Linked DNA regions of Zea mays. The protein of the gene in region 2 interacts with the protein of the main gene of each other region in a pairwise test. Links are inferred from orthologs where the notes say so. Each region holds a gene or a part of one and is shown on either strand. Other genes may lie near its edges. The genes, in order: protein YABBY 4 and Protein TIFY 6b.

The links.
Region 1: the proteins of Protein TIFY 6b (region 2) and protein YABBY 4 interact in binary tests that used the Arabidopsis thaliana proteins (3 or more experiments, as listed by UniProt). The link is inferred for Zea mays from reciprocal best matches to the Arabidopsis thaliana genes JAZ3 and AFO.

What each region holds. Positions count from the first base shown.
Region 1 is NC_050100.1:193,315,563-193,320,041, reverse strand, and holds the start of protein YABBY 4, read left to right. Parts: upstream 1-1,566; 5' UTR 1,567-1,804; coding exon 1,805-1,930; intron 1,931-2,085; coding exon 2,086-2,262; intron 2,263-2,433; coding exon 2,434-2,626; intron 2,627-3,312; coding exon 3,313-3,361; intron 3,362-3,635; coding exon 3,636-3,711; intron 3,712-4,028; coding exon 4,029-4,103; intron 4,104-4,332; coding exon of another isoform or gene 4,333-4,334; coding exon 4,335-4,424; 3' UTR 4,425-4,479.
Region 2 is NC_050102.1:113,400,447-113,404,841, reverse strand, and holds the start of Protein TIFY 6b, read left to right. Parts: upstream 1-1,420; 5' UTR 1,421-1,698; coding exon 1,699-1,816; intron 1,817-2,337; coding exon 2,338-2,507; intron 2,508-2,607; coding exon 2,608-2,834; intron 2,835-2,927; coding exon 2,928-3,012; intron 3,013-3,094; coding exon 3,095-3,452; intron 3,453-3,560; coding exon 3,561-3,618; intron 3,619-3,757; coding exon 3,758-3,956; 3' UTR 3,957-4,395. UniProt on the Arabidopsis thaliana protein: Repressor of jasmonate responses. Jasmonoyl-isoleucine (JA-Ile) specifically promotes COI1-TIFY6B/JAZ3 interaction. Acts as a negative regulator of MYC2 function. Feed-back regulated by MYC2.

The DNA.
Region 1 (4,479 bases), on a different chromosome or scaffold from region 2:
AGTATTAAACACAAACATAAGTCTCAAACGTCACAAGCTCTCACATAAGTATCAAACAGAAACATAAGTATTATACATAAGTTCTGAAGTCTAAAACAATGGCTCATGGAGGTGGGCGGTTTGGCCGGGGTTGCGTTGGGCTGAACCCTTCCGGAGGGTTGTTGGATGCCGCCCCAGATTGGCCCTGCACAGAGAAGAGATAGCATGTGTTATACCAGATGCATTACAAACATCTAACTACAATTTTGATACTCACAGGAGTGTGGAAGAGAGTAGGGTCAACTGGGGGGAACAATGGAGGTGGCGGAGCGATGCCCTGTGCGGCGCTAAGGCTCTGCATGTAGCATGTACTGGAACATCTCCCAACATCGAGTTGTTTTCGAGACCAAATTTAATTTTGCGCCGGCCGGTCGTTACACCATAGTATATCTTACGTTTACAGTTCGCATGTAGAGATTCCCGACCGGAAACAGATGACCGGCACGCATACAGGGTTACAGTCTGTACACTACCTTTAGGGTAGGAAGTACGTACATATATACCTGGTCTCTCGGCCCCATTTAAGCCTTGGTTCCACCGTACCCATGCCGAGGAAAATCGAGCCAGACCACGGTCAGGCTTTTGTCTTGCGAAAACGCGAAGAAAAGAAGCACGCCGCACGCGTACCAGAGCCCTTCTCGCGCCGGACCGGTCAGATCGGCCGTGCTGGCCTGCGCGGCTACACGACGCGCGCGTCCAGGCACATTGATGAGAAGTATATATACAAGTACGTACGTACGTACAAAGGGAACGTGCGCGCGTGCGTACATGACACCCACGTACTATGGTGCCTGCACCTCACCTCACCTCACCTCTTGCGCGCGGCCGGAGAGCAGCAGAGAGGGGAGACCGCGCGCATCGATCGTGGCACAGGTTGGGGGGGCCGGACGATCCCCACCACTCGTCCCGCTTTTCCAGTCGGCAACAGTCTCGAGATGCCGACCGCCGGTGCAGACAAGCTAGGGGCCGGGGGGAGGTAGCGTGCTGCCTGCTTTGCCCCCGTCACATGTACCAACGGCTCCACGCTCGCTTTCCCTTTGTCCAGGGGCCATATATCCACCGCGCTGTCCGCGGTCCACACACCCCATGCCTTGCCTCCTCCTCCTGCCTGCCTGCCTGCCTTTCCCTCGCCGCTCGCGGCAAGATCCACATGCAGTAGTAGGAGTAGGAGCAGCAAGCAACAAGGGAGGGAGGGAGCGAGGTCTTGGGCTCTCTCTTGTTAGTTCCTGCGTGCTTGCCCTGCCCTGGATCGGCTTTCAAATCGGGAACAACGACAGATCCGAGGCTTTCTCGAATCGGGCAGGTCCATCAAATCGCAAGTTTAGCCAGCCCCAGCCCCAGCCCCAGCCCCAGGCACAGCCAGCTAGCCGTCAAATCACTCACACTCATCAAATCAAAGGGGACCAAAAGGATATCTCCTGGCTCCTGCCCCTCTCCCCTCTCCTAGCTACTCGTCGTATAAAATTCCCCTTTCGACTCTCCCCCCTCCCCACACACACCTGACTCTCCTCCATCCCCTCCTCCGATCTCTCACCACGCTCCTCTTCTGCTACCTTGCTTTCCCTGCTGCGATCCGTTCCTTGCCCTATTAGTATTAGCTAGCCGGCCGGCCGGATCGATCGAGCAAGGAGGGGCGCCCCAGCAGTCCTCGTCGGATCGATCCATCTCGTCGACAGCGTCAGCGCCTCAGGTGGATCGGAGCGGAGGTGGTGGACCGGAGCTAGTAGCTGCCAGCCACACATTTCGGTCGTCGGAACCACATATCATGATGTCGTCCTCGTCCTCGTCCTCGTCGTCGGCCGCCTGCTGCTTCCCGCTGGACCACCTCGCGCCGTCCCCCACCGAGCAGCTCTGCTACGTGCACTGCAACTGCTGCGACACCATCCTCGCCGTACGTGCATGCGGCGCCCCACTCTCACCTATACCGACACTCGCACACACCAGCTAGCCTCTCCCACTTCTTCTTCTAGCTAGCGCAGCAGCCAGCAGCGCACGCAGTGTTGACTGATTCGTCTCTCTTCGATCTCTATATGCATGCGCGCGCAGGTCGGCGTGCCTTGCAGCAGCCTGTTCAAGACGGTGACGGTGCGTTGTGGCCACTGCGCCAACCTACTCTCCGTCAACCTCCGCGGCCTCCTGCTCCCGCCCGCCGCGCCGGCGCCGCCCAACCATCTCAACTTCGCTCACTCCTTGCTGTCACCCACATCCCCGCATGGCCTCTTGGTATGTAACTATGGACCAAAACCCATCCAGCTCGTTCGTTCAACTAGTTTAACATGCATGCACTTTAACCTGCTAGTGCATGTTTAGTTTCGTCGTCCCTAGTTAGCCTCTTCATATACCACTGAGATCAGTCAGTGTGTGTGTGTGACTTGCTTGCTTGCTTGCGCGCAGGACGAGTTGGCTCTCCAGCAGGCGCCGAGCTTCCTGATGGAGCAGGCGAGTGCCAACCTGAGCAGCACCATGACGGGCCGCAGCAGCAACAGCAGCTGCGCCAGCAACCTGCCGCCGCCGGCGCCGATGCCTGCAGCTCAGCCTGTGCAGCAGGAAGCCGAACTGCCCAAGACCGCCCCGTCGGTAAACAGGCGTAAGGACTTCTTGTTCTTTCTGTTTCCAATCTTTGGATCCCCCATCTCTCTCTCTCTCTCTCTCTCTCTCTCTCTCTCTCTCTCTCTCTCTCTTCTGTTTTTTATTACTTTCTGCTTTACTTTTCCGAACCAAGGGTATTTATCACTGCACTAATCAAAGACCCAAAGCCATTATATTGGCGTGATGCGGATGGGGATGAACTCAGGAAAGTGTCTGAAGAGGATGAGTAGGGGCAAGCAGATCACCGTTTGTCGTGCTGGAACAATAACAACAACTTGATTTGTGCATAAATAGAACTGGATGCATGGACGACGACACAATCCCATCCTAGCTTATTATTTCGTGCAGTGTTAGGATAAATTACATATATATATGGGTTTACAAGGTTATAATAGATTACATGAGCATTTTTCACCGCGTCCAGGGAACATATATATATGGATTTGTATAAAAAAAGGGGGACCTTATCAGGGTCGATGGATGGCCTAGCTAGCGAGACATACAATCATGTCATGTTATAGCCAGAGGTTGCCCATATCCATCGCTCTTCAGTTGCAAACAGTCGGCATGCATAGTGTAGTAGTTGCTGCTAGCTCTAGATAGATAAGCGTACCCATTCGCCCATGTTCCCTACGGATGCATGTATGCTGACTCAAATCTACCCTACAAAATCTAACTTCGCAGCTCCGGAGAAGCGGCAGAGAGTCCCGTCGGCATACAACCGGTTCATCAAGTAAGATTTTGTGATAAAAGTCTCTCTGTGCATGCATTTTCCCCCTTTAAAAACCCTTGTTTGTATACTCTCATATTCACCTCATCCATATGTATTGAAGTGGATTAGAGCGTAAATTAGTTTAAGTTTCAGCTCAAGACATATGGATTGAGATGAACTATAAATACGAGAGTATCCAAACGAGATCAGATAGCTCTAGTATAGTATGCGCCACTCTCTGCATGCTCATCGTCTTCTTGCTAGTAAATGTGTGCTGCTGGCTGCGTGCACACAGGGACGAGATCCAGCGCATCAAGGCCGGCAACCCGGACATCACCCACCGGGAGGCGTTCAGCGCAGCCGCAAAGAATGTAACTTTCTTTCGTCTTCTTCTCCAGACGCATATATGCACAGCAGTGACAACTACTCGTGGCTAGCTTGCTGTCTGCGTGTCTTGTGATTTGACCCATCACTTTACAATGTCAGCATGGACACAGCGACACCTAGTGTCTGGTGCTGGCTGCTTGCGCCTGGTGTGGTCTGTGGCTAGCTTGCTGCCCCACCGGCACAGCGTCGTACAGACGATACAGCTAGCGTTCGTTTTCAGTATTTGCTTCCAAGTACTCGGTCGGTCGTACGTACCCTACTAATGTTGCATTGCCTTTCTCTGATTTGTGTTCATAATCAGTGGGCCCATTTCCCACACATCCACTTCGGCCTCATGCCGGACCAGGGCCTCAAGAAGACCTTCAAGACTCATCAGGTATCAGAGCTGACACTGAAACCCTAATAACTCGATGTATATTTTGTATGCCTTGAAATCCTCACTTGACACTTTGACGGAGTTCAGGTCATCCAGCAGCAACACTATATTACCACATGCTTCTTTTAAGTTTTTTTTTTATTATTCGAAGTTTTGTAGTACTTTGTAAGCACGCACCGTACCCCGGCCGGCCTCTAAAATTTTGGCTGGTTCCTGGGCTGTGACATACAGGATGGCGCTGAAGACATGCTACTCAAAGACGATCTCTACGCCGCAGCGGCTGCAGCTGCAGCAGCCAACATGGGCATCACTCCATTCTAATAACTCTGGTTAGGCATGTGTTCTGAATCAGCTGGCACGTCGTAGTGGCTATCGC
Region 2 (4,395 bases):
CACCATATTTATCTTGAAACGAATGGACATAGTTTCATCATCATGAAACAATATCAACTTATTTTGAAGTTATTGAAAAACACATGAAACCACCATTGAGAGCAATTTTTTTCATTTCATACATTTTTATTGGTCATTTCGATGCAACATTTAATTGACATTTTAGCATGTAAAATCATGAACTAAAACTTTTGCATGTTTTATTCTTTTTTCATCTCATTCTTGATGGTGCGCAATATTAAGAATAACACAATGAAACTCTTATTTGGAGTAGCCTTAGGCTATTCCTAACCCACTATTTCTTATCACGATATACAACTTGCCAAATCATATGTTGCTATACAAGATATAGTTGTCCTAATTATAATATCATCTGATGTTCAATAGTCTTACAGGATTATTAAATGTTAGATGTATACAAGAGTATGAATCGTGCCTGAGCGACATCTCTATTAAAATCTTTATTCTCTTTCCTCTTTACTCACATGTCACATCAGCTTTTCATTCTACCTGGCATATAGCCATATACTAAATGAGTAAGATACCATTAATCCAAACACATTAATAGTTGTATTAGAGATACGAAATTAAAATTAAGGGTATGTTTATATCTCTAGTGCTAAAGTTTAGCGGCTGCTAAAATTTAGCATGTGCTAAACATTAGCACTTGAGGACTGTTTGGATAAAGTGCTAAACTTTATCAACTGCGGCGGCCAATGGTGGGAGAGTGAAAGGGGTAATCCATGCAAAATAGGATTGGAGACTATTTTTAGCATAGTTTTATCATCTTTGGTTGAGCTAAAGTGCTAATATATGCTAAACTTTAGCACAACACTTTTTGTCACATGTTTGTTTCTTTAGCGTCTAAACTTCAGAAGAAAAAAATATAGTGCTAAAGTTTAACGAGAAAACAAACGGTCCTAAAACAAGGTTAAAATGTAAAAAGTTCGGTGGCCTCGTGAATCGTGGTCCGGAGCAGAACTCACGTGGGACCCGTTCCCCGCGCAGAGAATCCCGAGGCCCCACCGCGGGAGCCACTGGCCGCCCACCACGGTTCACCTCGTGCGCTCTCCTTCCCGGACACGTGTCGTCCTATCAACGACCCGCCCACCGCGTCTGAGCCACGCTGGACGCTCGGTCGCCGCACACTCTTCCACCGACATGCGGGGTTCCATTCCTCTCCGCCCAAAATGTCAGTGGCGTTCGACGTAACCAGGCAGAGTGCAGCAGGAAGGACGTTGTGTCGTACCACGTGGGGGACTCGACCGGGGGAACCGGTAAACGTGGCGCGGGCCCCGCCGAGAACGACGCGAGCGATCCGGTCACCGCGGCCCGGGCCCGCTGGCCCCTAGTCGCCACGCGAACCACTCCTTTATTTCTTTTGTTTCCTACTCCTATTTTTAATTATTTTTTTGTTTCCTAATGCCCTCGTTTTCAATTAAAAAGTGAAGCGCAAGCCATTAAACAAACACAAATAGCACACACGGGCACACGGCAGGCCTACAACTACAAGAGGAGAGGAGAAGAGAGAGGAGAATTTTCAATGCTGCCGCGCACCGTCATCACTAGCTAGTGGAGGGGCGGACGAGAAGGCGAGGAGCTGAGGGGAGAGAGGCTTCACAGAGCTTGCTTGAGCCTGGAGGGGGCTGCCGCTGTTTGTCTCTCCACTCCACCCACCAGCAGTTACCTCGGGAGGGCATGGCAAAATCTGGTGCCTCCTTTCCGGAGTCCAGTTGGATGGAGAGGGATTTCCTGGCCGCGATCGGCAAGGAGCAGCAGCACCCGCACAAGGAGGAGGCAGGCGCGGAGGAATCTGGTATGCTCCCGGCCTCCTTTCGCCGCCTGCCGCGCTGCGTTTCTTGATCTGTGCCCGCACCGAGCCGTGCCCTAGTTTCTTGCCGTGCTGGGGTTGGGTTCGCTCCATTCGGTGCGGCGAGATGCGGCATGGGTGCGCTGCGAAATTCAAGCGTCCCTTTCCTCTCTCTCTCTCTTTTCTCTGTGTGTGTTTTGTTGCTGATTACTTTATCTTCGCAACAAAGAGTGTGGGCTTGCTTGGCTGGCATGCCTGCCGAATTCCTTTTGACGGCCGGCCTGCCGTGTACGCTCGATTGTGGGGAGAGTTAATACGTGAAGAAAGCGACGATGTTTCCGGGAGAGGCTGGCCGAGCCTTTCGGACAGCCGCGCGTGTCGTTAGTTGATTTCGAGCTGCTAGTAGTCTGATCGCTCGTGTGGGATGGGGATGGTTAACGGATCCATCTCTGGGTTCTTGCTTTGCTGTGTGTATTTATGTGCCGGCGTCTGATTGTCAGAGGCATGTGTGCAATCTCTCTCCCCAGCTTACTTCGGCGGAGCAGGAGCAGCAGCAGCAGCCCCGGCAATGGACTGGTCCTTCGCTAGCAAGCCCGGCGCCGCCCCGGCGTTGATGTCGTTCCGGTCAGCTTCGTTCCCCCAGTTCTCCTCCTTCGACGGCGCCAAGAACCCGGCCCCTCGTATCCTCACGCACCAGGTTTGCGCGGCTGCCCTTCTTGGTTCTGGTCCATGTCAGCTTCCGAGTTTTTACTGATACATCTAGGTCCCTTTTCGGGCCTCTGATGATGCTTTTGCAGAGGTCGTTCGGCCCCGACAGCACGCACTACGCCGCCGCGCACCGCACGCAGCATGCGCTGAACGGGGCTAGAGTCACTCCGGTCTCGTCGCCGTTCAACCAGAACAGTCCGATGTTCAGGGTCCAGAGCTCGCCTAGCCTTCCGAACGGTACTGCGTTCAAGCAGCCGCCTTTTGCCATCAACAACAACGCTGCGGCCAGTTCTACTGTTGGTTTCTATGGAACAAGGTACTCCTGGTTTATCTGCTGTTACCACAGTGACTTATAAAAGTGGCTGTGGAATTAGTATCGACTGAAACATTGCTTGTTTTGCCTGTGAAGGGATGTGGTGAGGCCAAAGACAGCACAATTGACGATCTTCTATGCTGGTTCTGTCAACGTATTCGACAACGTCTCAGCTGAGAAGGTATAATTTCTCATGGCCTTTCCATTTTGATGCTAATTTGCTTTGCATTTAAGCTCCTTCATTGACATTTTCCGTTCCACAGGCTCAGGAGCTCATGCTCTTAGCCAGCAGAGGGTCTCTTCCAAGCTCAGCCCCCGTGGCCCGTAAGCCAGAAGCTCCTATTCTCGCTCCAGCAAAAGTCACAGCGCCTGAGGTTTTGCATGCAACACAGATGCTGTTTCAAAAACCACAACACGTTTCTCCACCTTCGTCTGCCATCTCCAAACCAATCCCTGGCATCTTGCAAGCTGCAAGTCTCCCCAGGAGCGCCTCGAGCTCTAACCTTGACTCCCCATTTCCAAAATCTTCAGTGCCATTTCCTGTTTCTCCTGTAAGTCAGGCTCCGAGAGCTCAGCCTGCAACCATTGCCGCTACAACTGCAGCAGCAATAATGCCTAGAGGTACCGTTGGCTGTTTATGGTTTGCATAGCACCAACTGGCTATCATTGGAGTATTCAGTAATTCTGGTTGCTCATTTGTTGTATTGAAATTGTCATTGTCTGTTGCAGCTGTCCCTCAAGCTAGAAAGGCGTCCCTTGCTCGATTCTTGGAGAAAAGAAAGGAAAGGTAGAATCCATATTCTTGCTCCCAATGTCCTAAAAACAGGGCATTGGTTTCCGAGTGCATCGCAGCACCTTAATTCCTTACGACATATTTGCATTTGCGTTCCAAAGCTGGTTCTGATCTGTGTATACTTCTCTTGCAGGGTGACAACTGCTGCACCTTACCCATCAGCCAAGAGCCCGATGGAGAGCAGTGACACGTTTGGCAGTGGGAGCGCCAACGACAAGTCATCATGCACAGACATTGCCCTCTCAAGCAACCATGAGGAGTCCCTATGTTTAGGGCAGCCCAGGAACATCAGCTTCATCCAAGAGTCCCCCAGTACAAAACTACAGATCTGATCTGAATATCTGATCATGCCCAATGTTCATAGATTTGTCCAGGCTGACTGATGCAAGGACCATACGATACTTTTGCATTCAGGCAAGGACTCGAGAGGAAGAGATTACGTATGTTATCGGTGCCGCTAGCTGTTGTTTATGATGATGTTTTGTTGTGCTAGTTTACTGTGATGCTGGTGGTGCCCCCACCTAACTAACAAGAGAGCTGTCACTTGCAGACTCTTGATTTTTTTTTGTCCTAGCGCCATTTCTTTAGCGGTATCAAGTCAATTTATATAGGCTTACAAATTCTGCGCCTTTTGTATGGCCAAAGTGTAATATTTTTGTTCTTGTATTATGAACCTCCATGCTGCAGAATGCAAGAGCAAATCTTATTGTCGATGGTGTTCTCATTGCCAGCATGTGTACGCAGTAGCGGTTCATGTTGTTTTGAGCTGTT